Linked DNA regions of Anolis sagrei. The protein of the gene in region 1 interacts with the protein of each later gene in a biochemical or structural test. Links are inferred from orthologs where the notes say so. Each region holds a gene or a part of one and is shown in the gene's direction. Other genes may lie near its edges. The genes, in order: ANGPT1 and TIE1.

What was found.
Region 2: the proteins of ANGPT1 (region 1) and TIE1 interact in a biophysical measurement, tested with the Homo sapiens proteins (2 studies listed by BioGRID and IntAct, with this or other methods). The link is inferred for Anolis sagrei from reciprocal best matches to the Homo sapiens genes ANGPT1 and TIE1.

What each region holds. Positions count from the first base shown.
Region 1 is NC_090024.1:27,697,786-27,714,604, forward strand, and holds the start of ANGPT1 (angiopoietin-1), read left to right. Parts: upstream 1-10,610; 5' UTR 10,611-11,100; coding exon 11,101-11,400; intron 11,401-16,819. UniProt on the Homo sapiens protein: Binds and activates TEK/TIE2 receptor by inducing its dimerization and tyrosine phosphorylation.
Region 2 is NC_090024.1:183,095,126-183,111,385, reverse strand, and holds the start of TIE1 (tyrosine-protein kinase receptor Tie-1), read left to right. Parts: upstream 1-7,832; 5' UTR 7,833-8,377; coding exon 8,378-8,456; intron 8,457-16,260. UniProt on the Homo sapiens protein: Transmembrane tyrosine-protein kinase that may modulate TEK/TIE2 activity and contribute to the regulation of angiogenesis.

The sequences.
Region 1 (16,819 bases):
CTTCAGAACAATCAGCTTGATATAAATTGGTCAGACCTCAATGTACCCTGTCCATTATCCCTGGCCACAAATTCAAACAATTTGCTGTGAGTGTTAAGAATGTCCTCACAAGAAAAAAGCATAATCTGAAATTCAGCACTAATGTGGTTGAACAGACAGAATTCCAAACCCTTCAACTGTCCTGAATCGGCAGGGATAATCCTAATTAATCCTCTGCCATGCCATTTTCCAGCTGCTTTTGAAGTATCCCACATTCCCTCTGCTCTTCCTTTTCCCTTCCTTGTCCTCAGCTTATTTTAATCATTGCACTCTGAGTTCAAGGTGCAACTGTAATTTGAACTCAATGAACTCAACAGTGGGGAGTATTGCACTTCCCAGGTAGCTCAAACAAAAGAAAACTCATTCAGGCTGCCTTTGTTTCTATATTCTTCCTCATATCATTTGCCATCTTTACCAGACCTGGATGTGAATAGCCAGATGTGTCCCAGTTCTGTTCTGTAAATGTTGAACATTTCTAGGGTTTTACAGTTTAAGCATTCTGGGCCCTTCCACACAGTCATATAACTCAGAATAACAAGACAGAAAACCCTGCAATATCTGCTTTGAATTGAGTTATCTGAGTCCCTACTGCCATACATTCCAGTTCAACCAGATTTTATTCAGCTGTGTGGAAAGGGCCTCAGACTTCCGCACCAGGAAATGCGAATCTTCTAATTTGGGCTCCTTCTAAATTCAATTCTTTTAAACTTTCAAGTTCTTTCTATCCTGAATAAATTTACAAATTTTGCAAAATTGTTATGAAAAAAATGAATTGAAATTTATTCCCATTTTCAGGTATAATGACATCAAAGCTGTTACACCTTGAACAAGAGAATTTATTGTTTCAGGTTCAGAAAGGAACAGGAACAGCAGTAGAGAAGGAAGTTAGAAAGAATCGCTTTTTCAAAATGCAACACTCTGGTATTGAACAAAGCTAATGAATTTGATCTGAGAATATTATGGAAAGAATAAATGAGAGTGTGAATGAATGATGCAGGTGCTGGACTGAAAGATCACACATGCGCCATGGTTTCTGTTGCTAGGGTTACCATTTCTTGCGTCTGAAAATGTTCAAAGCAGCTGCTTTTATTACAAAGATATCATGCAAAACAACCATGGACCTTATAAAATAGATCAAGTAAAACAAAAGTAAGAGGCAGGGTTTTTCTTTCCACTGCATACATTATGTTTAGATTATTTAGTGATTATTCAGTGATTATAAATAGAAATCAGAAGCATCCTTATATCATCTGCAACTTTCATAGTTTTTGTTTAAAGTGGTAAGATAATATGAAAACTTCCCCAAGGCAGGAGCAGAGAAAACAGACACCTTCAGTCCCTGTATCGGGAGAAAGGTGGGAGAAAAGTAAAATTTAAAACAAAAAGTACATAAACACATAAATAAATGAAACTGAAAAGGCACAAGGTCATGCAATTTTGTGCACAATTTTATGCACAATTAAGAAGCATAAGTTACATTTACTAAAGCAAAAAGGGTTAAGTCTCCCACTGAAAGCAATTAAGATGTTCAGTAGACACTAACAGCGTGATCCTCTGGGTTTTTCTTTGAAATAAGTCCCATCCATGTGGAGTGAAGACTGAACTCCTTGGTACATGTGCCTGCCTTTGTTGGGTTATTTTGTAAATCAGGGTTGGAGAACTTCCAGATTTTGATTGACCACTATTCTCATCATCCATCGACATTAACAACAAGGGTGGCAGGAACTAATGGAAAATAGAGTCCTGGAATCTCTAAAAATCATATTCCTTGATTTTTTTTTCCATGTCAGGAGCGACTTGAGAAACTGCATGTTTCTTCTGATGTGAGAACATTGGTAATCTGCAAGGTTGCTTGGGGGTGCCAGATGCTTTTTGATGTTTTATCATCCCTGTGGGAGGCTTCTCTCATGTCTCTGCATGGGGAGCTGGAGCTGATAGAGGGTGCTCATCTGCACTCTCCCTGGATTCAAACCTCCAACCTGTTGGTCATCAGTCCTGTCAGCACAAGGGTTTAACCCACTGCACCATGGGGGGCTCCATATTCCTTGGTGTATCTTGAAATATGTGTCTTGATATTCTATCTATCAGTGAATATAAACATTTCATCTTTCCTACTTCCTTGTTTTCATCAACCATCAGAGAGCACAGAGGCAATAATTCTAGGGATGCTGAGCCTGGGGATTAATAACAGATTTAAATGCAGCAGTTAATAGCTTTGACAAGCATTTGTGCTGATCTGTTGCTTTTCAGTAGTATGCAAACACAGCAGCCTGCTGATGAGTTTATAGCAATCCAAATGAAGAGTTACAGACACCAGTTTGAGACATGTGGTAGTTCTGACAATAGGTCACTAGGGTGCTATATTGTCATGAAGGATACCATAGTAGAAAAAAAGAAAGGAAATATATAATGCTTTCAGTGTTTTATACCACCTAGCTATTCTGTGTTCTATTTATATTAGGAAATGAACTTCATTGACTACTGGAAAGCTATTGGCCCAGGGCATAAATCACACGAGCTCTTAAAGACAGAAATTCCAAGAATAGTAGCTCAAGTTTCATGCCCTAAATATCAGGATACAACACCTTTCCTCGTGGAATTACTGCTGAAATAGATGACCCATGTCATCGTCTTCATGTAGGAAGTAGAATATTTAGGAAAGAATATAAAAGCCTGAAAAAAGAACACTAATTTTTTTGCATGTAGTATTATTAGCAGAACACAATTGACTTAATTTATCACACTCACAAACATTAACTAAAGTGATCCATAGCCCAAATCTATAAGGTACTATATATTAAATCCAGAAACAGTTTCCAGTAAATGTAGATTTCCCCAGTGTATATTCTGTGGACACACCAAAGACAAGCATCGGAAGCAGAAATCCAAAACCAGAGCTCTATTCCTCAGTGATAGTATGTGACACATGGACACTTTCCAACATCAGCTAAAGTTATCTAGAGCTGGAATTGGTCAGAAGGGTCAATGCCACTTTAATTTCCAACCTCAGAATGTAGGCTTCAGTTTGATACACTAAAAGCAAGAGATTCAGATTTTCACAGTAAAGAGTGTATTAAATATAAACATGGTGGTATGACATTCACACATACGTTACCCTCCAGAAGTGGCTGAACAGCATCATAAAGTTTAATTTTTGCAGCAGTGCACTTGGCCTGTGCATCTCTAGCCTCCGTTATGGAATTCTAATCCTAGAATGGAGAACATAGGGAGAAATTTCGGTCACCTTAGATAGGTGGTTCAGTAATGGGTAATCCTCCAAAATGTTCCTGGGCTGCTATTCCCACAGTCCTTCACCATTGCTTATGCTGGCCATGGCTGATGAGAGTTATAATCCAACAACATTAGATGGAAAGAAAAAGGAAGATAGAAGAGGACACATGTAAAAGGAAATCTATGTATTGGAAAATGTGTTGGGGAGCATCAAACATATTTTGTACATACTTCTTTAGGGAAAAAAAGCCCCCCCTCAAGTGATGAAAGGAATATAATTCCACTTGTCCTCATCTACATACAGTATGACCCCCTATATCTGTAGTTTCATTTATCCACAATTCCTCAAACTGTTGGAGGGCCGGATTATAATTTGAAAAAAAATGAATGAATTCCTATGCACACTGCACATATCATATTTGTAGTGCAAAAAACACTTTAAAACAATATATAATTAAAATGAAGAACCATTTTAACAAATATAAACTTATTACTATTTCAATGGGAAGTGTGGGCCCGCTTTTGGCTGATGAGATAGGATTGTTGTTGTGTGCTTTCAAATCGTTTCTGACTTAGGTTGTCCCTGAGCGAGGGCCAGGTAAATGACCTTGGAGGGCCAAATCCGGCCCCTGGGCCTTAATTTGAGGACCCCTGCTCTAAGCAAATTCTAAGTCCTCCACCATAAATTATGGTATGTTTCCATTGGAAGTTGGGTTGTGCTGAAGGGCCTAGAAATGTTGGGTAGTTGTTTTGTTTTATGCTTTTTTAAGTTTGCCAGCACAATTGTATGTTCTACTTCTACCCAAAGTTGTTCATTTCAATCGGATTTGCTATGGTCCACAGTTTCTTCTTTCTATATGAAGTCCAGGAATGTATTCTCCAAGGATATGGAATTTTTTTTACTATATTTTGTATTAAGTATTCATTGTTTTGTGATTGGCATTGGAAGGTAACACAGACTTTATTTTCAAGCCCAATAGTGAAGGTACATAAGTATTTCCTCAATGTTTTGGCTCTCCCTGGGTGAAATAAAAGAAAAAACTACAGTGGATTTGGAGATGAAGGAAAAAGGAGGTAAATGAAGCTTTCTAAATTTCTATGCAGAGACAAAACACCTCCTGAAATAAATAGGTTTGCATGTGTCTAACCCAAAAGAGGCTAAGCCAAATGTGGCTGAAGCTCAGGCATAAATGACTTCCACATTCGCTCTTTTTGTGGAACCACTATTTGCTATTCACTTACATTCTAAGACAAATCCCAGTGATGGTGTTCTTGAATGATTGTATTCTGTTTTCCTTCTGTTTTTAAAAGAATGGATTTATTGGAATTATTACATTTTGGTTATAAAATGCAGTCCCAGTCTGTCCAATGTAGTCTGAAGAAAGCTTTATGAGAGCTTTTAGGGAGAATCATTCCTTCGAAGGAAAGCTGAAATGCTATTTCCAGGTTCAGTCCATTTTATTACTCTCCCTGGCCAGCCCAGAGGAGAAATAATTATTGCATTTTCAGGAATTTGAGAATCTAAAAAACTGGGTATCCTGGACTATATTTTCATCAAATGCTCATTTTCTATTATCCACATTTCATTGGGGGAAAATCCCTGACCCTCCATGGAACAAGAGAATTATTTTTTTCAGATTATTTTTGTAAATGGAATATCTTGGACTAAATGTAGAGCTAGCTATTCCTATTAACTGTGGAAGTCTTTTAACAACTGTGACAGTCCCATCAGTGAGTGTGTCTCGAGTGTCTTTATATAGAGAAATGGAAAGATAGATACACATGACTGTATTTCCTATATATAAAGTACTCTTTCTTTTTACAGGGCTCAGAATTTTCCTTTTCATGATACTCATATACCCAATGCATGTAGCTAAAGTCTGCATATAAAAATAAATATAAAATGTTGGCAACCAAGGAGTGTATAAAAATGTAAGCGATCTTTCATTAATAAGCTTCCTAGCTTAAATAAGAAATAGCTGCAATTCTTGGATGTGAACTTTGTCTCCCTCTTTGTCTCTTTCCCCCCCTGTGTCTGCAGAGTTGTTTACTTACCTTCTAATCCTGGGTAGCTGTCTTTTGCTTTAACTAGTGCTGTTTTTGTGCTCCAAAATAATTCACAACTGAGTCAGGAATGGACAGGCAAGGCATATTGGGGAGTAAAGGCAATGCCCATGTGGTTGGAAAATAGGACTGAAAATGATTTTCATCATAAATGTGTTTTCTACTAAGCCATTTTGAGTTGTTTAAGATGAACTGCATGTGGAGGGGATCACATATTTGAAATCTTCCCTTAATGCAAAACTCTCAAAATGTGCAAAATTAGCATTTCAAGGAAAACAGATTTTGAGAAGAGCTTTCTACTTTCCTTACATTGCTGCTGTGTAAAGTACATCTCTGCATCTAGTGTGATTCACAACTTTTACATTGAATGGCAATATAAATGGACCAAGGTGGGAGATCTGCAATGAAAAGTGCAATGAGCAATGCACTTCCATATATAATGTGCATTCATGAACAATCGATCCATAAGCACAACTCATTTTCTGCAACTTTGGACTGAACGAAGCTTCTCTTCACCAGACAAAAATGGTAAGCACTTCCGTAGGAGAAAGTATGTGCATGTTAGACACCATTAGGATTCAAGCCTATCTCATAAGTCGTATTCTGAAATTATTGTGATTAATCTCCTTCTCATCCTATTTTTTCAACTGCTTTCAATTTTTTCCCAGACAAAAGCAAACTGCTGCAGATTTTCTTAATTTATACACTTTTCTGGTACTGTTCCATTATCTGGGTGGAGGCCAAAAGGGGAGTCAGAGGAAAATAGTCCATTTTATGGAGGAAGGGGAATTGAAGGAGTAATACTGTTTTCCCCTGTTTTCCTGTTATCCCCTCCACCCATATTGCAATTATCAAAACAACTCTAGTTTATTACATGGGAAGCGGGGGATAAACAATAAAAATGAGGAAAATGTTTTTTCTCCTTCAACTCCCTCCAGCATAAAATGGACCATTCTTTTCTGTCTTGGACCCCTTTTGGAGTCAATCTGTATAATGGAACAGTACCGCTTTTCCTTATTAATAACTGCTGCCATCATGATTATTCTGTGATATTGACCACGTCAAATACCTCATCTTCATCTGTGGTATGTTGAAGGGTATGCTAGATCAATGGATTGTGATCCACTTCCTGCAGTCTGGAGTTGTACATTTTAGTCATACAAGTTAGATCGTGCAGTCTTACCCAACCATGTCACTTATCCAAATCAGGCCACATAATTAATATTTTGCTTTTATGTAACTGGCTCCAAGTTCATGTGTCTACACCAGTAAATAAAGATACAGTAAGACCCACACTGCAAATAACTCAAGCTTGTAGAGGGAAATGGTCATTCTAGGTCTTCTGAAAAAAATGTATGGTGTGCTTGTCTGGTAGTTATCATACAGTTGTTGTGGGAGGACCTAGGAAAATCCTAAAGAGGATACTTCTCTAAGAATCTCTAGGTCCTTTAGCACAACCCTATGGTATGCTGTGATCAGAAGTGAGGTAATTTAATGGCATTTGGTTGTGCCTGCAGTTTCACATAACTCGAGTATTACACTTACTAAAAGTGCTCTTCATCCACTTGCAGTTTTTGGTTATAATTTATTTTGTCCCTATAAAACATTATCTCTAACAGTACAGTATTTGGTACATCAAATCTGTATGCATGTTGTGATGAATTGCCTACCTCTTAGGCCAGAGGAAAACTCAAGAAGTAGGCCCAAGTATTTCAGCAGCCATTTTGTGAGATGGTGCATGGAGGCAGCCATCTTAGAGTACTCATTTCCTAGAGGGGGCGGAACTTAAGAGCAGCCTGGAGGAAAATGTGGAGAGCCTTTGTGATTGGCTGAGAGAAAGTGGGCAGAGTTTAGTTAGAGTGCAGAAAAAAGTTGCCTGAAAGGGTGCATTTTAAAATCTGACAGTTTAGTCAGGGTTTCATGGTTGAAGAAGAAAGTTAGGTTTTGGGAAAGTTAGGAGAGGAGAAGTTAGTGAAGCCAAAGTGGTTAGTTAGAGAAAATTGATAGCTATTAGGAAGAATAGCTAGTGTTGAGATAAACAGATCCAAGGGAAAGGACTATTTGGTGTTTTAGGAATTCTAAAACTAGTGAAGTCTGCTAGTTTGCTAACAGAGTGAAGAGTTGTTTTTGGAACTATGTATTGAACTGTTTTAAGGAATTATAAGTTTCATCTCATTATTGCAACCGTTACACATAAGTGCCTGTATTGTTGAAGTTCACACAAAGAAACAACTTTGTTCTTTGTTCATCAACAACTGTCTCAGTGTGTCTCTATATAAATAAGTATTCTTCACAAGATAGGGAAACAGAGTTTCCAGATTGGTGGCAGCGACATTTTAAAGGAATCTCATTGTTATTCACCTCAGAGTTTTGAGCCCTGAGTGTGAATCCAGCACATTCCAGCCTAATTAAACCTCTGGTCAAACAAGAACTGAACTTTCCTTTTTAAATTTGGTGGTAGCCAGTGGTCACATGAAAGTTACCTCAGAATACAGTGTATTTGTGGCAAAGTCTCTACAGCCTCCAAGCATTTAAGCCATTTTAAACAATAATCTATCACACATGTGTTGCTCACATTAATTTATTTGCCCTTTATTTGAATGAAAAGGCATTCCAGCAAAAAACAGCAAATGCAAATAATAACCTCAGTTCAGCCATTGTCTTCCTCCAACTTCTGGTAATCAGGAAGTCCTACCACTCTTCCCTACAGCCCTAATTAGCCAATTCTCCTGCCTTTGTGAGTAAATGTGACATTCAGAGATGTTTCAAGGGGCTGGCCACCCACCCTGAGTGGATGCTGAAGCAGCCCATTGCAAACCCATGAATCGGGGTTGATTATCCTTATTGGACTCCAAGAGGGAGAGGAAAATCAACATTGCTCATCTTCTGTCACTGCACCACAAAATAGCATGGATACAAATGAAACAAATCCATGGAGGTTAAATCTAACAGTAGTTATTAGCAATCATGACTAAATGAATCCATAATGTTTAGGGAAATTATACTGTGAATTAGGTTTTCAGTCATAGGATAATTGTAACCACATCCCACCAAAAATGCTTGCAATTCTTTTTCAAATCCTCCCACTCCACATGACAGTAAGAGCTCTTCAGCAGACTGCCCCAGAGACCAGTGAGTTGTTGTGTTTTTGGATGTCTTAAACAGAGTCTGGATGGCCATCTCTCAGGGTGCATTCATTATATATTCCTGCAGGGCTGGTGTTGGGCTACATCGTTTGTGGTATCCATTCCACCTCTACAATTCTATCATCCTAATCTGTTATGCTCCCCCGCCCCCACTCCCCTGATTATTTGTTTTGTTTAGGGATAAGAATTTGGCATTAAGTGAAGTTTACACACATCATAGTTTAAAATGTCTGCTATTCAAATGGACCAACTGTGTGTTAAAGACAGCTTAGTTCTACCTCTAGCCCTGTTGTACATCTGTTATTTTTTTAACTTTTTTCTTGTAATAATAGGAAACAAGGTAGGAAGAGACTGAATATTAATCTTCCACAGGGTTGCCATGATTTGAAGTCAACTTGACTCAAGTTAGCAAGAACATCACCCACTGAAAAATGACCAAAACCTTGTCTAATGCATTTGTTGTATGTGATATGGCATTCCAATGGATAAAATCATGCACACCCAGAATTTGCGTGTTTATGTATGTGTATATCTCTGCTTCAATCTAAACCAAGACTGGATCTACATTGCCATATAATGCAGTTTCAGAATACAGATTAACTGCGTTGAACTGGATTATATGGCAGTGTAGACTCAGGCTGGCTCTACACTATCCTATATCCCAGAATCTGATCCTAGATTATCTGCTCTGAACTGGATTATACTACACTGCTATATATTCTGGGATAAATAGATAATCTCTCATCAGATCCTGGGATATAGAGCAGTGTAGATGGGGTCTCATATAATTCAGTCTGATTCATTTAGGACCTCTTAACACAGAAGTTTTTTAGCCCTGTTTTTCCAGTTGTCGATGGGGGCTGGACAGGATCTACCGAGTATCATCAGACAATGGTGGCTTGGCCCTACTCTCATTCCTCCCGAAATGGGGGGAAGCATCACAAGACACTTCCTCCTCCATGGCGAAGAGGAAAGTGTTTTTTCAGGTAGGTCTGATGGAGCTACCTGCACTTTCCTCCACTCCCCTTAGCAGCAGCCCCGTGTGTTTTTCCACAGGACTGCTGCTAAGACTTGCCATTTAATCCAGTTAGCTGCAGTTATTTCAAGAGAAAGGAGGGCTACAAAGCTCCCATCATGTCCTTGACAAGTTGCTATCAGTTCACACATAGTAAGGTGACAAACGTTGAGAAAGGACTTGTTCTACTTCTATAAAAGTTGCTAATGGAATGTCACACAGAGATTGGACTTTGTGGTATGATAGGCTTTTTGACCTAAGGTGTTCTTTGTGGTGAGCCAGCACTTGCAAGACATTTCTGTGCACAGAAAATGAGAATAATCAGTGGAACACTCCAAATATCTAGGACACTATTTTAACACATTTGTTTTGTCATAATTAAGTGCAGTGCAGCATATCAATTCATACCATTGGATGTGATGGGCTTCTTTCTTAAAAAGCATCATGCTAGTCTGTGAAAGGAACAGCAGGGGGAAAAAAACTCTGGTCATCAACGTTTAATGTATATTCAAGCAGCATTTGCATATGCACATAGCCACTCGTTGGATCAGGGCCCAAGTGCCTGACATCTTGCAATTGATGGGAAAACATATTTTAATTTTTGCATCATCAGCTATATATATGTGGTTATTCTTGTATCAACATGCAAAAGAGGAATGTATGAATGACATTTTCCTGGGAACTGTTTGACAGCTTTTGATTTAATCTTATCTATTGCTATGGAAATTATGGCTTAATTAATCAAAGCAGAAAAGGACTGATTTCGTTCCAAGGATGATCTCTATTCTGTTAACATGCATTTCCTTCCCCAGACTTTGACTTATATCACAATCTACTCTCTGATTTAGCCTTTCCGAAGAGAGCCACACAGCCACATACTCATTATACAATAGCAGATATTTTCCATGTGCAGCGGTCTGTATGTTAATGTTTACTGGGGTGGGGGTTAGTTTATAACAAACTTGGACCCAGTAAGTACATTTTAATAGTTCAGTCTGCCCATAGGAAGTCTATTAAGGTGGACTGTTTGACTCATTAAATTTTGTCAAAGGCTCTCAAGTTGTCTTGTGTGCGGGAGGAGCCAAGCAGCAGAGTATGTCTGAGGTTGTGCTTCAAGCCAGGAGTGTAAGATGATCTCTCTCTTTCCCGAGCCCATCAGGCATCCTTTAGCATAGGGACACACTCGCACACACATTCCTATCAAGTCATCTTGTGAAAGACTGCCGGCTTCCAACTTGGCTTGAGTGTGCAACCTTAATAAAACACGCCAAGGTCTGCGAGAAAATAGCAGTTCAGCCGCAGCTAGGGCAGGAGAAAGAGACTGAGGCTATGCCTAGGCAGCTGACTCAAAGACGCTGCATGCTGAAGTGTAACAGAGAGGAAATGATAAATCCCAGCTACTATGCAATAAATTGCTCCAGCTTCAGCTAAGGAAGCCCTCTGTTATCATGAAATAGTTTTTTTAAAAGATAGTTATTATCTTAATTTTCTTTTCTTTACCATTTTGTTCCCTTAAAGAGATCTTTAAAGGCAAAGCAAAACAAAACACAAGAGGGAAAGGAGTGAAAGTGTTTCTGTTCACACACACAAAAGAGGGCTAGTAACATGACCGTTCTCCTTGGCTTTGCTTTTCTTGCTGCTGTCCTGACTCACATAGGCTGCAACAATCCACGCCGGGTGCCAGAGTCCAGCAGCACAAGGAGGTATAACCGGATTCAGCATGGGCAGTGCACCTACACTTTCATCCTTCCAGAACAGGATGGGAACTGTCGCGAAAGCACCACTGAACAATACAACACCAACGCTCTCCAGAGGGATGCCCCTCACATGGAGCAGGATTTCTCTACCCAGAAACTGCAACGCCTGGAGCATGTCATGGAAAACTACACTCAGTGGCTGCAAAAGGTAAGTGCTTCATCCCACCCCCACCTCCCACAACTTCTCACCCACGTTGTTTTGTGTTTTGATGTTTGCATGTCCTAAGCTTTTCTGATCCAGGAGGTATTTCTCATGAGGTTTGCATTGTATATATGGTTAGCAAATGTCATAGTGACAACATGCTGTTTGTTGTGAGATAAACTGAGAACAAAGCTTTAAGCAAATTTCTAGATTTTTTCCCCTTTCTCTTCTAGACTTTGTGGAAGAAATAGTCTCTGCCTATCTTGCATGGATAGCTATAAGTAATTTTACCTTGACAGACCAGGTCCATATCTCTATTGGCATATAGTAGAAGCAGGTTCTAAAAATTACACACCTTAAGTTTGGATGCATATATTGTCAATTGCTTTGGCACAGACACATCATTCCAGGTGGATCAAGATAGATGGAAAAGATGCATTATTTAAAACTGAAGTTATTTTCATTTATCAACAATTTTGGTTGAAACTTATGCTAAAGAAGTTGTATTTCTGATAAATGAATGAGTTAAAATAATTGCCCAGTGTATTGGGCTATAAGAAAGAATTGTTGGGATATTTCATGTGTGGGAGGAAAGAGGGATTGGGTTAAGCAAAAGCTCAAATTGATTAGTAAAATGTGCTTAAATAAGAATAATAACACAGCTGGAGGTCCTGAATAACATATGCCCCATATTTCTTTGTAGAAATCTGGCTAGGTGAGGGGGGTACCTCTCACAATTAATCACTGTCATCCTAACATCAGCTTATAATCTGAATTATACAAATCATTTCATCCTGAACTGAGAGACTGCAGTGTAAAAAGCAGCAATTCTAAGATCTGCTAACAAGTGGTTTGGATTCACTTTAACAGATCTTGGAACAAGTTCAATCTGCCAGGGATTCTGCATTTTTTCTAATTTTCAGGTGCAAGTCCCCAATATGTGTATTATATTATTAAAACAGCTGGATGGAAAAGAGAATCCTATGCATGTTTCAAAAAGTTAAGTTGCACTTCAAAAAAAGCAAAAATAAAACTGTAAAGTAAGACTCATCATGATCAATACGATTTACTTCCATGAACACTGCATAGAATCTGAAGCTTTTGGTACAATATTTTCTCACTTGGGATGAACCATAGATATAGAAGATACTAGAGCTTGTTCACATTGGGATTTTGGGACTATAGCTCCCAGATTCCCCAAACCATTCTTGGCACAATAGGAGAGAAGTATACTCTATATTCCCCATGAAATGTGAAAGTCCTCCACCTTCCCTCTGAACCCAAAATCGTTTACTTCTGAGCAGAAAAGTGCATGGTGCATGAGTCGTTTCTGAAGCTTTATCATTGAGGCCAAGCTGTCATTGAGCATAGCTTTGGGCAGAGCTATACTCAATGAAGTTCCTTTTCAAAGATGTGGAGGGAGAAGTCATCTAGCTCAACCCACTGCTCAATGGATATTGTGGAATGTAGGAGGCACCTATAATTTTCTTGACTGTCAGTGATCAAACCTTTGCTAAAATGCTCTTTACCAAGTCCATTAGCCCAAAGTGATCTGTTCTACTGCTGAAATGATACTTAGGAACTTTCTTCTAAATTGTGGTCACTATCCACCACCTTGCCATTTCCACCTTCAGTCCTACCTTCTGAAATGAAAGTGAAACTTTTCATATGGCATTCCTTCCTATGTATGAAAGCGGTTATGCACCATTGAATTTAACAAGGTTTGGTTTCAAGTAGACAGTATAGAAGACTGCATTGTGAATGATCTATAATGAGACTCATCCGAGATGAGGACAACTAAAATGATCAAGGATCTGGAGAACATGCCCTATGAGGAGTGGCTTAAAGAGCTGGGCATGTTTAGCATGAAGAAGAGAAGGCTGAGAGGAGACATGATAGCCATGTATAAGTATGTGAGATGAAGTCATAGGGAGGAGGGAGCAAGCTTGTTTTCTGCTGCCCTGGAGACTAGGACACGGAACAATGGCTTCAAATTACAAGAAAGAGATTACATCTGAACATTAGGAAAAACTTCCTGATTGTGAGAGCTGTTCAGCAGTGGAACTCTCTGCCCCAGAGTGTGGTGGAGGCTCCTTGTTTGGAGGCTTTTAAACAGAGGCTGGATGGCCATCTGTCAGGGGTGCTTTGAATACAATTTTCCTGCTTCTTGGATGGCCCATGAGGTCTCTTCCAACTCTATGATTCTATGATTCATTTTCATTGAGAATTCTCTTCCCTGACACATTGCAGCCTACAGAACACCTCTGAAAGAAAGCACTTGCTTTTTGTGTTTTGACGTAATCTGTTTACAATTTGATGTACCAAATTTCTTTTCTCTTTTCATCAGCATGTAAACAATTTCACTCAGAAGCATAGCTCTTGGATTTCATAGGGGGGAGGATAGCAAACCAAAATGGCTAGACAGTCTTGAAAAGATTTACTCAGAAAAATAAGCCCTATTAAATGGGTGAGAGTTGCTCTTAGTTCAGTGTATATGTGCATGTGTGGGTGTATGGGAGACTGTAGCCAGCAACTGAAACCAATCCTAAATAGATTCTTTTGGAAGTTGGTACACTGAATTCAAGGAGGTGATTACTTCCAGGTTTTGTGGTGGTGGGTGGGTGGGGAAGAGTAGCCTGAAAATTGCACATCCAGTTTTAGCAAGTAAAGGACAAGAATGAAGAGGTAGACACGGGAATTTTTGTGACATAATGATTGTTATTTTGAGCTATTTTTTTTATTAAAAAACCCATTATGTCCAAGAGTAAAAGCTGTTTCCTGGAGCTAGTAGTGCAGTTGGAGTTGTGTACATTTGTATGCATCTTTGTGTGTTGGCGTACATGTATGCTTTTACATTTGTTAAAAAAAGGTTGCCCTGCAAAATTTCATCTAATGGTTCCATGTTCTGTGTTTGACCACTAGGGACTGAGCTAAGCCCACTGTTTTGCCTGCAAACTGCAGAGGAAGAAAAATGACTTTGGTGGGGAGACCTCCTCTAAATTGCCATTGACCCTCAAGTTTTAAGAGAAAAAGATAGATGGTTAAACATGTAGTTAGTGACAAAATGGTATCTTCATGGCTCACATTCTTCAGCGGTTATCTGAACTTTGAAAGTAGGTGAAAGGTTTCCCATTAGGTCCTTTAAAAGTAGCAAGTGGTCAGAGATCACATATCTTTGCTTTTCAGTTTTTGGCAGAATGAAAGGACATGCTTTCCAGGGTGTCTGTATTTGGAAGTGGGCATTAGGGAGGGACAAAATGGGTCATTTCAATGCATTTATTTGTGTACATTGTAGCCTACATCACTACATGAGCCACTCATTGTTTTGCTGCTGTCGGCGCAAACCATTTAAACCACAACTTTCCCATCCAAGAAATGAAACTTTAATTGGAAAGAATATATACTTGAGAACCATCGAAAGCTGCAAAATTAAGGTAATGTCACCTAATAATTTTATGCTAAAGTAATCCGTTCCAATTATATATTTATATTTATATCCCACCCTTCTCCCCACAAGGGGGACTCAACGCGGGCTCACATGAGCATCAGAGGATGCTAACAGCATAAATACCATAAAAATTACAATTCACAATAAAATCATTTTAAAACATTATACAATATCATCAGTAAAATTTAACAATAAATTAATAAATTAATGTGCCAGTAAAACCAAGCCGAGCCGGGAGAATCCAGATTGCAAAATCCAGTTGTGTTAGTATTTGAATGTAATATAGCCAAAGATTGAGTAAATGGGAAATACTAGTCCCAGAGCTATGGCCAAAGTACATCATTATAATTGTGTAAAAAACCCTATCCAGGTTTCTTACATAGTGGGTTTTTTTTAAATCAGTGCTTGTGTCTATGTGCACTCTTAAATCTTTGCTGTAGCATATCACACTCATTAAAACTATTTAGCATTAGAAGACATCAGAACATATTACTTCTATTACAACATATCCCAAACACAAGTTTTGTAGAGCTTGGAAGGGAGACGGACGACATAAAAAAGAACTGAAGTATGGATTGTTTAACTAGGAAGTTGACATTGCAATGGTCTTAGCTTAGCTAATCTGGAAGAAATGCAGTTTGATCTTTTTTTAAAAAAAAAGAGAGAGAAAGAGAAAGAGAGTAGATTTTGGAAAACAAAATAAATATTTTAAAACCCTTCTTGCAATGAGCTGTCACTTCAAATCCCGCTGAAGAGTTCCGTGCCTGACTGTAAGCAATTAAGTTTGGGTGTCGTCCAGTGAAATTTGCATATCCTTTGTTGATGTTTAAGTGATTGGTTGGACAAGGGACCAAGTTAGGAGTGTCACAAAGAGCATTTTTGCTGAAACTACCAGAAGATGATAGCTTGATAAACATATTTGCAGCTTTTCCTTGTGGTATTTATTTTAAGAAGAATAACTTCACTTATCACTTAACCTTTGGTTTCACAACTGCCATGTTTCTTCTAACAGAGTAAAACAGACTACACACTGTTGTGTTTATTTCTTGCAATAACTGGCTATCATACAGCATTGAAATGCTTAGGTTGTAATTTCCTTGTTTAAATATAGTCAAGGAATAGATTTCTGTAATTTTTAACTTGGCAACTTTTCAGGATTTTTCTTCCCCATGCTGAACTTACCCAAATGTATTGTACAACTACAAATGGTTTTGCAACTATACAGATGTGTGTTTATCAAAGTATCCCTCTGCACACTGTCTGTGTTTGCATAATATCTAGAAGAGAAATGGATAAAGTAGAGCATTGACAAAATGTGACTAACATTTTTAGCAATTCTTTTATTATCTACAGAAAATTAAAAAATCCAGTAGGTCTGGGCTTATTAAGATATGGACAGAGTAACACAGGGAGCTGCCTTATATTTAGCTGGTCCATTCGCCCATGTAGCTGGTATTTTCTATGTGGCCCACATGGATTGGCAAAAGATGGCCCATGGGATCCATGTGGCCTAACCTGTTTTTGCAGTTGCCAGTTCCCCAAATAATAATCCCTCTCACATTTCAAAAACAGGAGAAGCTGTCTTTTAAAGGGTGGGAACATGAGCCATCTCACTGACAGCAGTTCTCCAGGGGTTTAACCAAGGGTCTTTTCTAACCCTGTCTTGAGATCCATGGTATTCCCTGCTGGTGGACTATCCAAATACTAACCAAACTAGTCATGCTGAAATTAGAAGCAAAGTGGAGTGAACTGCTCTCCTTCAAAATTCCATAAAGTGCAATTTATTCTCAAAATGAAGTATAGGACCTTCACACCTTGTTCCCCCTCATTAAGGTCAGTGAAGGATAAATTTTATTAATGTTTCCCCTGTTCTACCTCCTTAGAAACTGAAGTTATGAAGGACTAGTTCCTGAAGGAGGCTGGCACTTGCTGTAATTCCAGACCTCCCCCAGACTTGGTTTGATACCAAAAACTGAC
Region 2 (16,260 bases), about 160 Mb from region 1:
CATAAAGGAAGTCCATGCAGTTTGGGGGAAAACGTTTCTGAAAAGTTTTTAAAAGTTCATCAAAGTTCAGGAAAAGTTGCAGAATCCATGGGAGCAAACTTGGAAAGGTTCCACTGAGTCCATTAAGTCCTTGAAAGTGACTGCCAGCACTGGAGGTCGAGATCCATGTTGGAAAATGAAGAAAACTAGAGATCCCATCTTGTCAAGGACCAGGGTGGCATATCGGTTTCCTGGAGGTCCCAAGGGATGACCGCAACAGGTTCCCCAGGTCAACAGGCTCTCCAGGCATCAACAAGACAGTGAAGTCATGGCAGCGGGGAGCCAGCAGGGCTCCATGTTGAGGTTTGGAGGCAAAAATTGTTATTCCCGGGGCAGAGGGGTTAGCGGAGTGAAAGCAAGATAGCCATTAGTCTTAGAATTAGTCTAGGAAAAGAATGGCACTGATTTTGGAGCAACCCGTTGACCCACAGATACGAGGACTCGATGGGTTTCCATATCTGCGGTTCAGAGGAACACAGTTTCGGCCTCCCCAGGACGCGAAAATCGCATCCCAGGTGGGCTAGCAGCTGTCTGCAACTCGGGAGAGAGAAAGTTTATGAAGTGAAGAGTTTGGAGGCAGTAAAGGACACAAAGTAACACTATAGAGAGAAAAAAGTTACAATTAATTGATACTTTATTGGGGGGATTTGTTACAATGTTAAGTAGGGGAAGAGGGTGAAGCAGAAAGAAAGTCTCTTGATTGAAGCTGCTGCTGTGGCCACATTCCATGGAAGCTGGCCCAAGCAGGCAATAGAGAACTTCAGAACTCCCCACTGCAGGTCAGATCAGCTTGAAGGCAAGGAGTCGTCCTCAACAGGTTGAGAACCACTGTTCTAGGTAGTCATGAACCAGGCTTATTCTAGCAAGGCAAGTGATGTGCTGTAGCCTAGACTTATGATTAGAGCCAGGTTTGATTGTCAAAGAATTTCACATCCCTAGAATTCTTCCAGATAGTGGTGGCTATCAACAACCTTCAAAAACAGCCTCGGCTAAGGATAGCACATCTCCTCTGAATTAATGCCTGAAGGAGATAATGGCTGGATGAAGAACAAACTGAAACTGAATCCAGACAAGACAGAGGCATTTGTCATCAAGTGCAAGGAATGCTGTGGGTGTAACATATTTTGATTTCAGTAAGGCCTTCAACAAGGTCCCTCATGATCTTCTTGCAAACAAACTAGTCAAATGTGGGCTAGGCAGTGCTACCATTAGGTGGATCTGTAATTGGTTAAGCGACTGAAGCTAAAGGGTGCTCAGCAATGGTTGCTCTTCATCCTGGAAAGAAGTGACTAGTGGGGCCAGTACTATTCAACATCTTTATTAATGACTTAGATCAGGGGTCCCCAAACTCAGGCCCGCGGGCCATATGCGGCCCGCCAAGGGCATTTATCCGGCCCGCGTGGCCTGGGCTGGGTGGCACAAAGCCCCTTGCCGTTTCTCTCTCTCCCTCCGGAGTGGCTTCAGGCAGAGTCGCGCCAGACCAGGCTTCTCCCTCTTTCTTTCTTTCTTTCTTTCTTTCTTTCTTTCTTTCTTTCTTTCCTTCCTTCCTTCCTTCCTTCCCCTTCCCCCTTTCTCTCCCCTTCCCCTTCCTTCTCCTTTCCGCTGGTTCTCCTCGCACGGCTGGGAGGGGAACAGCAGGCGCTTCATGGCCGCAGATCTTCTGCTGCGCTCTCTTGTTCTCCGTGGCCACGAGACACCTCCTTCCCTCCCAACTGTGCAGGAGAACAATCGGAGGCGGTGCCTGGCCCGGTGTCCCCACGGAGAGAAGGGAGGGAGGGAGGGAGGGAGGGAGGGAGGGAGGGGAGAGAAAGAGAGAGGAAGGAAGGAAGGAAGGAAGGAAGGGGAGAGGAAGGAAGGGAGGAAGGAAGGAAGGAAGGGGAGAGAAAGAGGAAGGAAGGAAGGAAGGAAGGAAGGAAAGAAGGAAGGGGAGAGAAAGAGGAGGGAGGGAGGGAGGGAGGGAGGGAGGGAGGGAGGGAGGGAGGGAGGAGAAGCCTGGTCCAGCCAAGATTGGTCCAGATCCAACATTGTTTTGAGTCCACAGTGATCTCTGGATGTAGGTGAACTACAACTCCAAAACCAAAGGACACACTCCCCTCCAAACCCTTCCAGTATTTTCTGTTGGTCATGGGAAAACTATGTGTCAGGTTTGGTTCAATTCCATCATTGGTGGGATTCAGAATGCTCTCTGATTGCAGGTGAACTATAAATCCCAGCAACGACAACTCCAAAATGTCAAGATTCTATTTTCCCCAAACTCCACCAGTGTCCACATTTGGGCATATTGAGTATTCGTGTAGAATTTGGTCCAGATTCATTATTTTTTGAGTCCACAGTGATCTCTGGATGTAGGTGAACTACAACTCCAAAACCAAAGGACACTACCCACCAAACTCTTCCAGTATTTTCTGTTGGTCATGGGAGAACTGTGTGCCAAGTTTGGTTCCATTCCATTGTTGTAGGGGGGGGGGGGGTTCAGAATGTTCTTTGATTATAAATTTCAGGAACTACAATTCCCAAATGTCAAAATCAATTTTTTGAGTGAAGGACATACATTGGGTTGTTAAGTGTCCAGTGATTTTTGATTTCTGTTAATCCCACAAAGGAACATTACATTTTTATTTATATAGATTTATTTCCTATATTTATACCCTGCCCTTCTCCCCCAGAAAGGGGACTCATGCTTACATATTCCAAAAAACCACTTTCAAAATGACAGAAAATATATATTTTTCCTCATTTTCATTGGAACTATTTTATTTTCAGAAATGTGAAAGCTATCTTTTTCTATGTATACCTATATTGCTTTCAGCAGCCCATGGTTGGGTGTGTGTAGAGTTCTCCTTTTATTTATGGCAGCCCCATGAATTTAATAGGGTTTTCTTTTGTCAGTTTCTTTCTCTGAAATAGAACACCTGCTATTCATTTGTGGCTTCCCATCCAAATACAAACCAGAACTGGCCCTGCTTAGCATTCAAGATCAGAGACATTTAATCTTTCATTGACTTTGCCAGGTATTCTTCTTCTGTACAGTCGTCTCTGTGACCCCCTGTGACCCAACTTATACAGGCAGTCCCCAAGTTACAAACAAATGATGTAGTTTTGTCCTCACTGTAGGCTGAACAGTAAACATATTCATGGATTCCCTTTTTTTAAATGGATTCCCTGCTGTTATATTAAGACTGTTACACATGCTGTGACATGCTTGAAATCCAAATTTCATTTATTTGTAATTAGAAATAAATATTTCACAATGTATATTACATATTGTTTTTGTGATTAATCACTATACTTTATGTTCAGATTGTAACAATAAAAATACATCCTGCATATCAGATATTTACATTACGATTCATAACAGTAGCAAAATAAGACATGTGCAGTGTGCATAGGAATTTGGTCATTGTTTTTTTTAAAAAAAAAAAACAACTATAGTCCGGCCCTCCAACGGTCTGGGGGACAGTAATCCGGCCCCCCGTATAAAAAGTTTGGGGACTTCTGACTTAGATGAAGATTAAGGGGAATGCTTATCAAGCTTGCAGATGACACCAATTTAGGAGGGATAGCAAAAAGAATTCAATATGACTTTAACAGATTACAGAGCTGGGCCAAGACTATCAAAATGAATTTCAGCAAGGACAAATGTAAGATACTACACTTAGGCAGAAAAAAGGGAAATGCAAAAATACAGACTGGGTGGCGGCTGCCTCGCCAACAATACATGTGAAAAAGATCTTGCCGTTTTTGTGGACAACAAATTGAACATGAGCAAACAATGTGATGCTGCAGCTAAAAAGCCACTGGGCTGCAGCAAAAGGAATATAGTGTCTAGACTGAGGAAAGTCCTGGTACCTCTCTATTCAGTTTTGGTCAGACCTCACCTGTATCCATTTCTGGGCAGCACAATTGACAATTGAGATATTGACAAGCTGGAGGGTGTCCAGAGGAGGGCGACTAAAATTATCAAAGGTCTGGAGACCATGACCTGTGAGGAGCATCTTAATGAGCTGGGTATGTTTAGCCTGCAGAAGAGAAGGCTGAAAGGAGACATGATATATATATAAATATGTGAAATGGTGTCATAACGAAGAGGGAGCAGACTTGTTTTCTGCTGCCCTGGAAACTAGGTCTCAGAGCAATGGCTTCAAATTACAGGAAAGGAGATTCCACCTAAACATTAGGAAGAACTTCCTAACTGTAAGAGCTGTTCAGCAGTTGCACTCTCTGCCCCAGAGTATAATGAACACTACTTCTTTGGAGGCTTTTAAACAGAGGGTGGATGACCATCTTTCAGGGGTACTTTATCCTTTTCCTGCATGGCAGGGAGTTGGACTAGATGGAGTCTAACTATGGAGTCTCTTCCAACTCTATGATTCTGTTTCTAAATCCAATCGGTTTAACTCTTTCTGGCCTCATTCAATCACTCAACTGATCAAAATAGCCTTGGGGCCCTTTGCAGGTTCCATCAGAAATGTATATCAACATGCTAGTGTCACCTGACAATATACTCCAGTTGATGGTTCATTTATAGGAAAGTGGTTTTGCAGTGCAACACTGGCCTTCCATTCTAAAGCTGAGGACTTCGGCAACACAACCATAAATGTACGCTCTATTAGAGTATGTGCTAGAAATTCTCAATCCCATCACTGATTACCACCTGCCCTTCTCTGGGACTGTATACTCAGATCTTATTTGCCACATGTTTATCTCCATTCAATGTAATTCCACCTTCTCTCTGGCTATTTGTTGTTTGCATGAGAGAGGTACTTTCTCAAACCAAATAGGATGATTTAGGTTGTGTTCTTGTCTGGTCCTCAGTGATTGAAGATGGTCTAACTTTCCATTTCAGGAGGCCCAAGGCATACTTAAAGGGTCATGGTCAGATGGTCTACTCCATTCCCAAATTGGGGGTGGTAGTGTTTATGCATGTATCCAATTAAGCACCCACTCAGTATTAGTTCAGTAAAGAAACACAAAAAGCTATGTGTTTTTTTTGAAAAGGAAACAAGCTGTGAAGTAATTTATATTTTATGGCAGACACATGACACAATGGACTAGTCAAGAAGAGGAACTATTTAAGAAGCACACCGTGCTATTCTATGCTTCACCAGACATTGAGTTATCACAACAGAGATGCTGAAGGCAAATAGTAGAATCTGGAGTGGCAAGATGGAGCCTGAGCCTGTTGTATTTCACCCACGCTGCTATTCCACAAGGGCACCTGATTTCCTGAGTTCCATATCAATAGTCGGAAACAATGAATGAATTTCCCTTTCCTGCCTGTGCTTGCTTTAGATTTCCAGAGGGATAAAATGTAGCCTCAGACTGTGCCAGGCCACCCAGTCCATATCTGGCTTTCTTCCCAATGGTCCTAAAGTTTGCCTGGAAATTGCTATGAGCAATGCCTGTGTTTCCCACAGCCACTAAAGAAGCATCTTTGATATCTATACAAATTAACAGGCAATTGATGCAAAATTAATTTTGCTTTGATTTCCCATTTTTATTCCAAACATTAATTCTAATAATACAAATGACTAAGGACCAGCAAGGTAGCATCAATTTCCAGGTTCATGAAATTCCATAACACATATTATAATACAGTCTTTGACATTCACTGAGGTTAGGGATGCAGGACCCACACAAAAGTGAAGAATTTTAAATAACAAGACTGCTTTTTTTAACCTGAGAGAATAGGTAAACAGAAGGACCAAGAGACTTATAAAGAGATGTTTTCTCTAGGAATCTCTAAATCCTTCAGAATGACTGTGATCGATTTCCAGCAGAAAGAGTTGCATCAGATGACCTAGGCCCCTTCTACATTACCATATAATCCAGATTATCAAATCAGATAATCCACATTATCTGCTTTGAACTGGAGTATATCAGTCTACACTGCCATATAATCCAGTTCAAAACAGATAATCTGGATTTAATATGGCAGTGTAGAAAGAGCCCTGGAGATTCCTAGGGAGAACGTTATGATCAAATCTGTTAATAATGAAACCTGCAAAAGTTAAATCTGAAAATGGTAAGATTCAACTGCACTCATTTGACCTCAAATATAAATCACAGATTTTGAGGCCAAAATTATGAACTTTGATATGATCCATAGATAAGTCAATGGGAAAGCACCAGCACTGCTTCAGGGAGCCAGCCCAACTTTGGCCAACATCTTTTTCCCAACCAGGCATTTTTAAAAAGCTAGAAAAAGCATCAGAGTGAAAAAGAGGACTCTTTCAACTCATTTCACGTTCCTATCAAACAGTTAACACTGAAAGCTAATGCATTTCTATCCCATTCTGTTGTGCCCCATAACTAGTGTTATTCATTGCATGCAGAAGCTGAAATAAGCCATGATGTGACTACACTACTGGGTTGTAAGCAAGTTCTAGGAGTGTGGAAGTGAAAACTGGCTAAGCATGTCCTTAGACTTCCTCCCAAACATGTTTACAGCTATTGTTTTCTGTAAAGCCCCTCCCTGAGATTGCTCCTGTGTTGTTGCTGTTGTTGTCTGCCTTCAGGTCATTTCAGACTTATTGCAACCCCAAGGAGACCCCATTATAGGGTTTTCTCTGCAAAATTTGTTTGGGGGCAGGGGTCTTATGTTTGCCTTCCTCTGAGGCTGAGAGAGTGTGAACTGCCCAAGGATGTAGTCAAATCACATCTTTATAAAGCATCAATCTTTTGGGTTGTTGTGAGTTTTCCAGGCTGTATAGCCATACAGCCCAGAAAACTCACAACAACCCAGTGATTCCGGTCATGAAAGCCTTCAACAATACATCAATCTTTTTCTATACTGGGAGAGTGAACACAGGAAAGTAGCTCTATCTTAGGGGCCCAGAATTCAGTTCCATGCAAACCTATACGTGGATGCAGCTTCAATCATTTGACATACCCAGATAATGTGTAGCCTCATGACCAGACTGAAGTGACTGGGTCATTGCTTCATAGAGGCCCACCCTGCATTATCCAACTGAAATGCAGAGACCATCTACACTGCAAAATTATAGTAGTTTGACATCACTGTCATAACACCATCCTATGGAATTCTGAGATTTATAGTTTGTTGTTGTGACACCAAAGCTCTCTGACAGAGAAGGGTGAATAGCTCACAAAAATACAAATCTCAGAATGTATACCATTAAGCCATGACAATTATTGTGGTATCAAAATTGTTTTAATTCTGCGGTGTGAATAGTAAAGGTAAAGGTTTTCCCCTGACATTAAGTCCAATCTTGTCCAACTCTGAGGTTTGGTGCTCATCTCCATTTCTAAGCTGAAGAGCCAGTGTTGTCCATAGACACCTCCAAGGTCATGTGGCCGGCATGACTACATAGAGTGCCTTCCCGCTGGAGCAGTACCTATTGACCTACTCACATTTGCATGTTTTTGAACTATTAGGTTAGCAGAAGCTGGGGATAACAGTGGGATCTCATGTCACTCTCTGGATTCAAACCTGCAACCTTTTCAATCAGCAAGATCAGCAGCTCAGCAGCTTAACCCACTGCACCACTGGGACCACAGTTAACTGCCTCATGGGTTATAGATTAATCAGCAGTAGGGTTAATCAGCAGTAGAGCTCCTCAAACCGCTCAGCCTTCAATGTAGAAAATGTGAATGCTGTGGTCTTTTTTCACTCCAACATTAGTATTTCAGCCCAGTTACCTCTCAAGCTGCTCCCCCCTGGAAGAGGCAGAGATATGCAAGGAACAATGGGTGGAGAGCAGGAAACGCTGTATGGGAAACAGGATTTCATGTCATTGCAGTTCTGTTGGTGAGGGCCTCCAGGCATTCCCGCCCCAGCTGAACCCCAGCCAAGGAGACTCTTCCAGCTCATGTCCTGCCCAGTCCATTCCCACCCATAGCCCATTCCTGTGCTGCCCAGAGTTTTTCTTTTGTCCCTATCCCAATGCTCCCTGGTCGGCATGGAAGAAACAGCAGGATTAAACCTCCTCCAAAGCTACATATGGCATTGAATGTTGGGCTCAGAAGGTCTTTTTGAAGTGGCACTCTGATTTCCAGGGCAATTGGGCTTCCTTGAACAGAAACCCAGCATTTCTGGATAGCTAGAATGAAGCCACTTTTTCATTTCCTGAGATTTTCTCCATGAAGCTCAGCGGAGACATTTTGTGAAGGTCTCTGATGGCGCAAGCCAAGAACATTTCCTCTTAAAACTTATCTTCCCCATCATCCCTTTAGTCTAGTGTGAACTTCCTTTCAGTTCTTACAAAGGACTTGAGGGCACAGACATGCCAAGTGTGGAGAAGATGGATATTGGGAATGAAAAATGACAAATATTCCCTCTGTGAGCTTTTCCCTCTTCTGGATTAGTGATGCCTGAATGCTCCTGACATTGAGCGCATCCTGGAAAATGGGACTGGACAGGATTTGCCTTCTAAGCCTCTTATTACAACTGGCAGGTAAAGCCCTTTCTTATTTATTTCAGTTACTTGTATTTCCTTTATATGTTTAACTGGCTGAAGCTCAGTTATCAGTTCCAAAAATAAGGCCACAGCTACACTGACCATTTAATGCAGTTCAGAGCTAGTTTCAAACCGCAGTGTTTAGCCAACAAATGCTCTTGATAGTGCATGAAAGAAAGCCCTTAATGCACATCAGTGCTCTGTGGTTTGTATAATCCCCATTTCAACCTCAAACTGGTTCCGGGATTTTGTATGTATTCATCTGCACAGCAAAACCCCTTTCTTCAGTACCAGTTTGAAAATTACTTTAAGTAGTCAGTATAGAAATGCCTAAGGTTTAGACCATGAAAGTTGTAACTATAAGACATTATCTCTAATGCATAAAACAAACTTAAATCAGCCATAGACTAAAGCCAAGGGTAGAAGCAATAGTTGAGGACAGCAGCTGTGTATCGATCAGCAAGAAGCTTTTAAACCTAAAAGAATTAAAATCTGGAGGAAAGAAAAAGGTCTTTGTACTGGCTGAACAAAGACTATCACAGTGGCTAAGATACTGACTATCCTATTCATAGTCTATTTACTTTCTTTCCTCACACACTGTCATACATCTAATGATTTGTTGTCAGACTTCAGAAGTAATAGATAATGTCAGATTTGTACAAAAAAAGAAAAGAAAAAAGAAAGGTGGGATAAGGGTCTTCAAAAGGTTTAGTGGTCACATACATATGCTCTACTTTCTCCCACCCTGGGAAATGTTCTAGTGCCAAAGAAAATGGAGCCTCATAGAATCATAGAGTTAAAGAGACCTCATGGCATGGCCATCCAGTCCAACCCTCTGCCAAGAAGCAAGAAATTTGCATTTAAAGCACCCCTGACAGATGGCCATCCAGCCTCTGCTTAAAAGCATCCAAAGAAGGAGCCTCCACTACCTCAATGGGCCCTTGGAAGAGGTAGTCACTAGAAATCTGTGGCAAGATCAAACCTGCCTTTAGCAAAATCTGAGAGATCTGAGATTTTAGGTGGCTGGACAGGATGGTGCTCTCCAGCAACCCCTAATTAAAACAATCTAAAGGTGCATTGTCTAACTGCTCAGTGCTACCCTAAAAACTGCATACTTCCAACTGTCCAAATTTGACAGGAATGGTCCTAAAAAATCCTAATAAAGTGCCTTGCTTTTCCAGCTGCTTTCAAAATCTCAATTTCTTACTAATTCTCTCCCTTTCCTCCTTTGTCTTCAGCTAACCAGCTGGATCTACACTGCCATATAATTCAGTTTCTGAATCCAGATTATCTGCTTTCAACTGGATTATATGAGTCTACACTGCCATATAATCCAGTTAAAAGCAAATAATCTGGATTCCAAAACCAAATTATATGGCAGTGCGGATGGGGCCTGAATTCAAAGAAAAAAGCATCCAGGAAGCAGCAGAAGAGGATAATGGCCTTCCCTTCCCAGTAGGCTCAGGCAAAACCAAACTGCTGCAGTCTCTCTTAGCCTCTCTGTTCCTCCTCATTAATAATGTTTGCCAGCTTGACCATACACTGATATTGCTTGGACACACATGTCCTGGTTTTCATCCGTTAAATATTGGATAATTTTGGAAAGAGCTATAATATTGGAGAGGGCTATAACATATAGCTTAATGTGCTGCGCCTCTCCCAACATAATACTGAACCCATGCAAAGCGGTAATAATGGATGTAAGTATGATTTTCCTTTCAATCAGTCTCATATCTGTTTTCTCATGAATGCATTTTATCTGTTTTCCATATTAACTTGAACTTCACAGAAATATTTGTTTAAAGATGTATTCCTACCTATAACTTGAACCATGTTATTGAGGCAGTGACTTCACTGAGACATTGGGGAATTACAAAAATTGATAGTTCTGATCTCTTCTTTAGTCCAGATGATACAGATTGGTTTGATTCATGGTGGGATTGACAAAGATTGAATCATGGCATCCAGATATGAGTATGATGAATGCAGACTGGAAATAAGACAGTCTCCCTGATGCTAGTCAGCTCAGTGGTATTTCCTGCGCAATGGACATTCTGAGATAATTCCTGCTGCCATTTGTGATGCAAATCAAGCACATGTTTAAGTGAAAGGAAAAGCTGCCATGTTGGTATCAGTTTTTAAGAGAGATCAAAAAGGGAAGGTAGAGACATTGTAGCCCCTGATGTACTTCATGTTTGTACATGTGTTTCTTTTATTTATGGTCAGTAGAGTTTTGCGGGGTTTTACCACTGTATAGTTCCTGGCACGTCCCTTTTTCTAATGGAAATAATGTAATAAAGTGTCTTCCCCATCCATCCCGGCTGCCTCACCAGTGCAGCCTTCATTGCAAAAGAGTTCTGGTACCTTGCTAAACTACAAATTCCATGGTCCCATAGCATTGATTCAATGAGTTTCAAACTGCATTAATTTTATAGTGCAGGTTCACCCGCAGAAGGAGAATCTAATTGTATTACAGCACAAGGCACCATTCTAGATAGTGCATTGTACAGTTAGATACGCGACTTAAGGTAAAATTACAAGTCCAACTTCTGAATAATTTATCAACTTTCAAGCAGGAAATAGTGCAGAATTGACACGTAGACAATTGTGAAATGGGAAGTAATTACATATGCAAATTTTGATCAGAGATGGGAGATTACTCTTTTCTCGTGCCTGATAGGAAATTCTAGGATTCTTAGTCTAAAATAATAGAATTTACTAACTGCGTAAGTGCTCAAATGACATGGTTAGCATGAAGGAATGTTACAATACCTACAATACAATACCATGGTTACCATGAAGGAATGTTACAAAAGGCTGTTTCTGAATAGTCTGGTTATTCAAACTATCTCCAATTGCCATTCCAGATTCAGTCAAATACAAGGATAAATATTTTAGCTAGTAGTTTAGTTATTTGTTTTCCAAACTATGCTGAATGGGTAGACAAAAGAATAATATTGTTTTTATGTATGAGATAAGGACTTCCTTCTGTGCTAGGGAAAATCAACAAACCAAGCACTAACTGGCACATATTTTTGTGCTAAGAGGTTTTCCAAAATTCTTTTTTATTAATACAACTATACAACAATACAAAATTCAAAATATTTCTCAACACATTACGTAGCTAGATACATACAATCAAAAAGTCTTACCTTCCTAAACAATAAACAAACATTCCATTGTTTAATTAATTCAGACAAGAGAAAGCAAGGCATGTGATTAAATATTGCAATAGCATCTACCAATACAAAAGTTGCAAAAATCACCTTTATTGTATAAGGTTATTGTGAACTAAGTTTCCTCCTCATCTTAGGACGTAGAATGCCAGTTTTGGTAATGCTACTATAATATGTATACTATAAAACCAATATATAATAAAATGTCATAGATCTTAGATTGCAATTTCTTAGTGGCAAGGATTTCTCTACCATAGAGTGTCATGCGCATTAACAACAATAAGAAGTCTGGATTGTTTGTTGTTTAAGAAAATGGGAGATTGATGATGATTGACAAAACAAACCTGTAGATATGATTGGTAATAACTTAAATCCACAAAAGTCAAACGTACAAATGTGGAGGACCAGCTGTAGTAATAATACTTGTAAAAGGCAAACGTTTCCCCTTAACATGAAGTCTAGTCATGTTCAACTCTGTGGAGGTGGTGTTCATCTCCATTTCTAAGCCGAAGAGCTGGCGTTGTCCATCGATGCTTCCTAGATTATATGGCCAGCATGACTGCATGGAGCACTGTTACCTTCCCGACGAAACAGTACCTATTTATCTTCTCACACTGGCATGTTTTTGAACTGCGAGGTTGGCAGAAGCTGGGACTAACAACAGGCACTCGCCCCGTCCCACAGATTCGAACCGCTGATCTTCCGATCAGCAAGTGCTGCAGCTTAGCAGTTTAACCGACTGTGCCACTGCAGCTCCTGTCTTTTACTTATACTTTTTACTAACATAATATTGTTTAAGACTTCAAAATACAAAACCCCACAAGGCTGAAAATCCTGATAATTTGGGGATGGTTAAGAAAGTTGCTAGATAAATTTTTATTGCTACATCATATTTTATTTTTTACTAGCCATCCCCTGCCACACGTTGCTGTGGCCCGGTCTGTGTACGTTTTTTGTGTATGTATATATGCGTGTGTGCATATTTGTGTATATATGTGTGTTTGCGTGTGTATGTGTATGCGCATGCGTTGTAATGGTTTTTTTTTTTTTTTGCTTTTTAAGTCCCTTCTGCTGTGTTTTTAAGTGATGGTCACTCATTGGCTTGATAGGTGTCTTGTATCCAAATTTGGTGTCAATTCGTCCAGTGGTTTTTGAGTTATGTTAATCCCAGAAAAGAACATTACATTTTTATTTATATAGATTTCCCCTGGTTTCAGTCTACTAAACAGAAAAACAAGAAGAATAATTATTACCTGTGTATATGCCTGTATTAGTCAGGATTAAAATGAATTGCATTTCTGATTATTAGTTTTGTTTGGATGATTTTGATGTCATGTGCCTTCAAGCTGAGTCTAATTTATGGCAAACTCGTCATAGGGTTTTCATGGCATCATTAATTAGAGGGGATGACCAACAGTGACTCGCCCAAGGTCACCCAGTGTATTTCCATAGCTAGGGATTAAAATCTTCTTGTTCTGGAGTTCCCCTCCAACACTCATGGCATACACTACACTGTCTTCAAACTAAGAGTATACCAGAGCCACATCTGCACTGACTACATTTTGTGAAGGACACCCAGATCAGCTCCATGGCAGTCAAAAGTTATGGGATACTCTGAATTCGTGCCCTGATTTTGGAGCAACCCTCAACTTCGTGCCATATAAACAGTTGGGATGGCTCCAAAACAGAATTGGCTACAGTTGTTTACAGTGCCATACAATGTATGTGACTTTGGGGCACAAGATGGCACTCAGAATCTCCTCTATTTCTCCATGTTGTAGAGCTATTTGGAAATGACATGGGTACTGCCAGAAAATTATCACTTGCAGTGATGTCAGCCAGGATGATGGGGAGAGGTGGAGAGGAGTGGGTGATTCTTCCTCTCCCTCCTGCCTTATCACCCTGTTGCCCAGGCTGGCATCAGTACAGGCAACTGCTGACTGGCAGGACCCATGACATGTCGAACAACCACAATGACATGGAGAACAGGAAGGAGTGATAAGGATGGCTGTCTGGTGGTTCCAAATCAGGTTTGGCACCGCTGGGTGGTTGGGACTCCCTCCTGCATGCACAGGAGTAGTAGCTGTGAACACCATACCGGATTGATCTGGCATACACTACGCCGGATCAGTCATGGGGTCAGTATTGATTGGCCCTAGAGTTTGGAACAGATTAAGATTACTTGAAGGCCTTGCATCTCTCGCTTTCTCTCTCACACACACATATACACATAGAGAATAATTGTTTAATTAATAGTTTTTAGAAGACCTTGGGTAGTTTTCAAAATACACCTTATGGTATTCAGCACATTCATTTCCATAACAACCTTGCAAGGGAGGAGACAGACCCAACAGCAAGATGCACATAGTGTCATAAATTTATTTATTTATTTATTTACAATATTTATATTCTGCCCTTCTCACCCCGCAGGGGACTCAGGGCTGATTACAATGCACATATACATGGCAAACATTCAATGCCATTTAGACATACAACATATATAGACAGACAAAGAGGCAATTTAACATTCCAGCTTTCCGGCTTCATGAGGGTATGCTCGGTTCTGATCACAGGGGGAGCTGCCACTTCACCGTCCACTTGTGACACCGAGTCCTTGATGGAGTACTTCCTCATTTTTATGCATGCCGCTGGAAGGTTTTATGTTGTCATAAATTAGTTAAATTAGCCTCCCTGCATAAAGCGGTACCTAAATTTCCTACTTGACAGATGCAGTCTTTCAGACTGCATAGGTCAACAACAAGCTAGACTATTAATGGTTGGGAGCTCACTCCAACCTGAGTTGGTTTCGAACTCATGACCTCTTGGTCAGTAGTGATTTAATGCAGCTGGCCACAGCCCGGACCTAAAATTGTCATAAATTGTCATGGAGACACAAACTGATAATTTTATTTTCTTGTTGAAAACTCAGAAATCCATTTATATTCATTGATCATTCATGTATAATTTGAACTGGTGATACATTCTGTACTAACCTCGGTAACAATTTCAGTGATTGTATGTAAAATTATTTGGTGCTATTTGTATTTTTTATCTTGAATGTTTTGTATACAGTTAGTTTTTCACATTGTTATAAGTTTCTGAGAAGTATCAAATGTTGAATATAAGGCTTACAACAGCCTAAAATTCCTCTCCTAAAGGGGTAGCTGTTGTGTTAGCCTACTACAGAAAAAAAAACCTAATAACAAAGTAAAATGGCCCCTTCAATTCATGATATCCTGTGGTGCCTTAAAGACCAGCATATGGCATGATCTTCCATAGACTCTATTCCCCATATATGTGAACCACTAAATCCTATCACTGCATGTGATATTGTTTATAGTACATAATAAAATGCTGTTGAGCTCACAGTGGTCTTTCATTGTGATACCATGTAGCACTGTGTTGCATGATTTATATTATATACCATCTCATGTTGGCTAGAGTAATTTTAAATGCCTTCTTTTGGTTTTATGCACCGCATGTGAGTAATCAAATCAGCAGAGAGTCTCCATGCCATTCATGTGCCCTGAAAACTCATGTGAGAGGTCATTAACTCTATAAGAGGATTGATTGGCTTGACATTTTAGACGAAGTTATAATAAGGTACTATTTGAAAACAGACAATGTTTTTATGACCAACATAAAATGGAAAACATTGTCTACTATGTGCTAACCATTCCCATGTGCAGATTTCTGAAACGTTTGTCAATAAATGAAATTGGGAACTCTTTTGCAGAATTCATTTACTTTCTTTTGAATTGTATCAATGGTTGTGTAATATATGGTGGCCATTTTTGGTTTGGCTACATAAAAGATAAGAAAGAGATAAAATTGCCACAAATTTTCATGGAGATTCCAAGTATTAATTTGTTTTTCTTGTTGGCAACTTAGCAATTTGAACTGTTTATGCATTCTCTACTAACCTTGAAACAACTTCAGTTGTTGCATGTAAAATTATTGGGTGCTATTTTTATTTTTTACTAGCTTGGGGACCTAGCAGTGCCCAGGTTATTTAAGAAAGGCATTGTTTGTCTGTGCTCCAAATTTAGTTTAGATCCAATGTCAGCTGGGTTCAGTGGGTGTGTGTGAACTACAACTCCCATGTGCAAGTCCCATCATCCATGGTCCATCTTCCTCCAAACTACACCACGATGTAGAGTGGGTAATGGGGGCTCTGTTTGCCAAGTTTGGTCTTGATCAGTCATTGGTGAGGGTCGCAGTGGCCTCAGGATGTGATTGAAGGTACTACAAGTCCCATCATCCATGGTCCATACTTCTTCAGAGTGCACCAGAATGTAGAGTGGGTCATGGGTGTTCCGTGTGCCAAGTTTGGTCTTGATCAGTCATTGGTGAGGGTTGCAGTGGTCTCAGGAAGTGATTGAAGGTGCTATACGTCCCATTATCCAGGGTTCATACTCCTTCAAAGTGCATCAGGATGTAGAGTGGGTCATGGGGGCTCTGTGTGCCAAGTTTGGTCTTGATCAGTCATTGGTGAGAGTCACAGCGGTCTCAGGAAGTGATTGAAGGTACTACAAGTCTAATCATCCATGGTCCTTACTCCTCCAAAGTGCACCAGGATGTAGAGTGGGTCATGGGGACTCTACGTGCCCATATTTGAAGTTTGG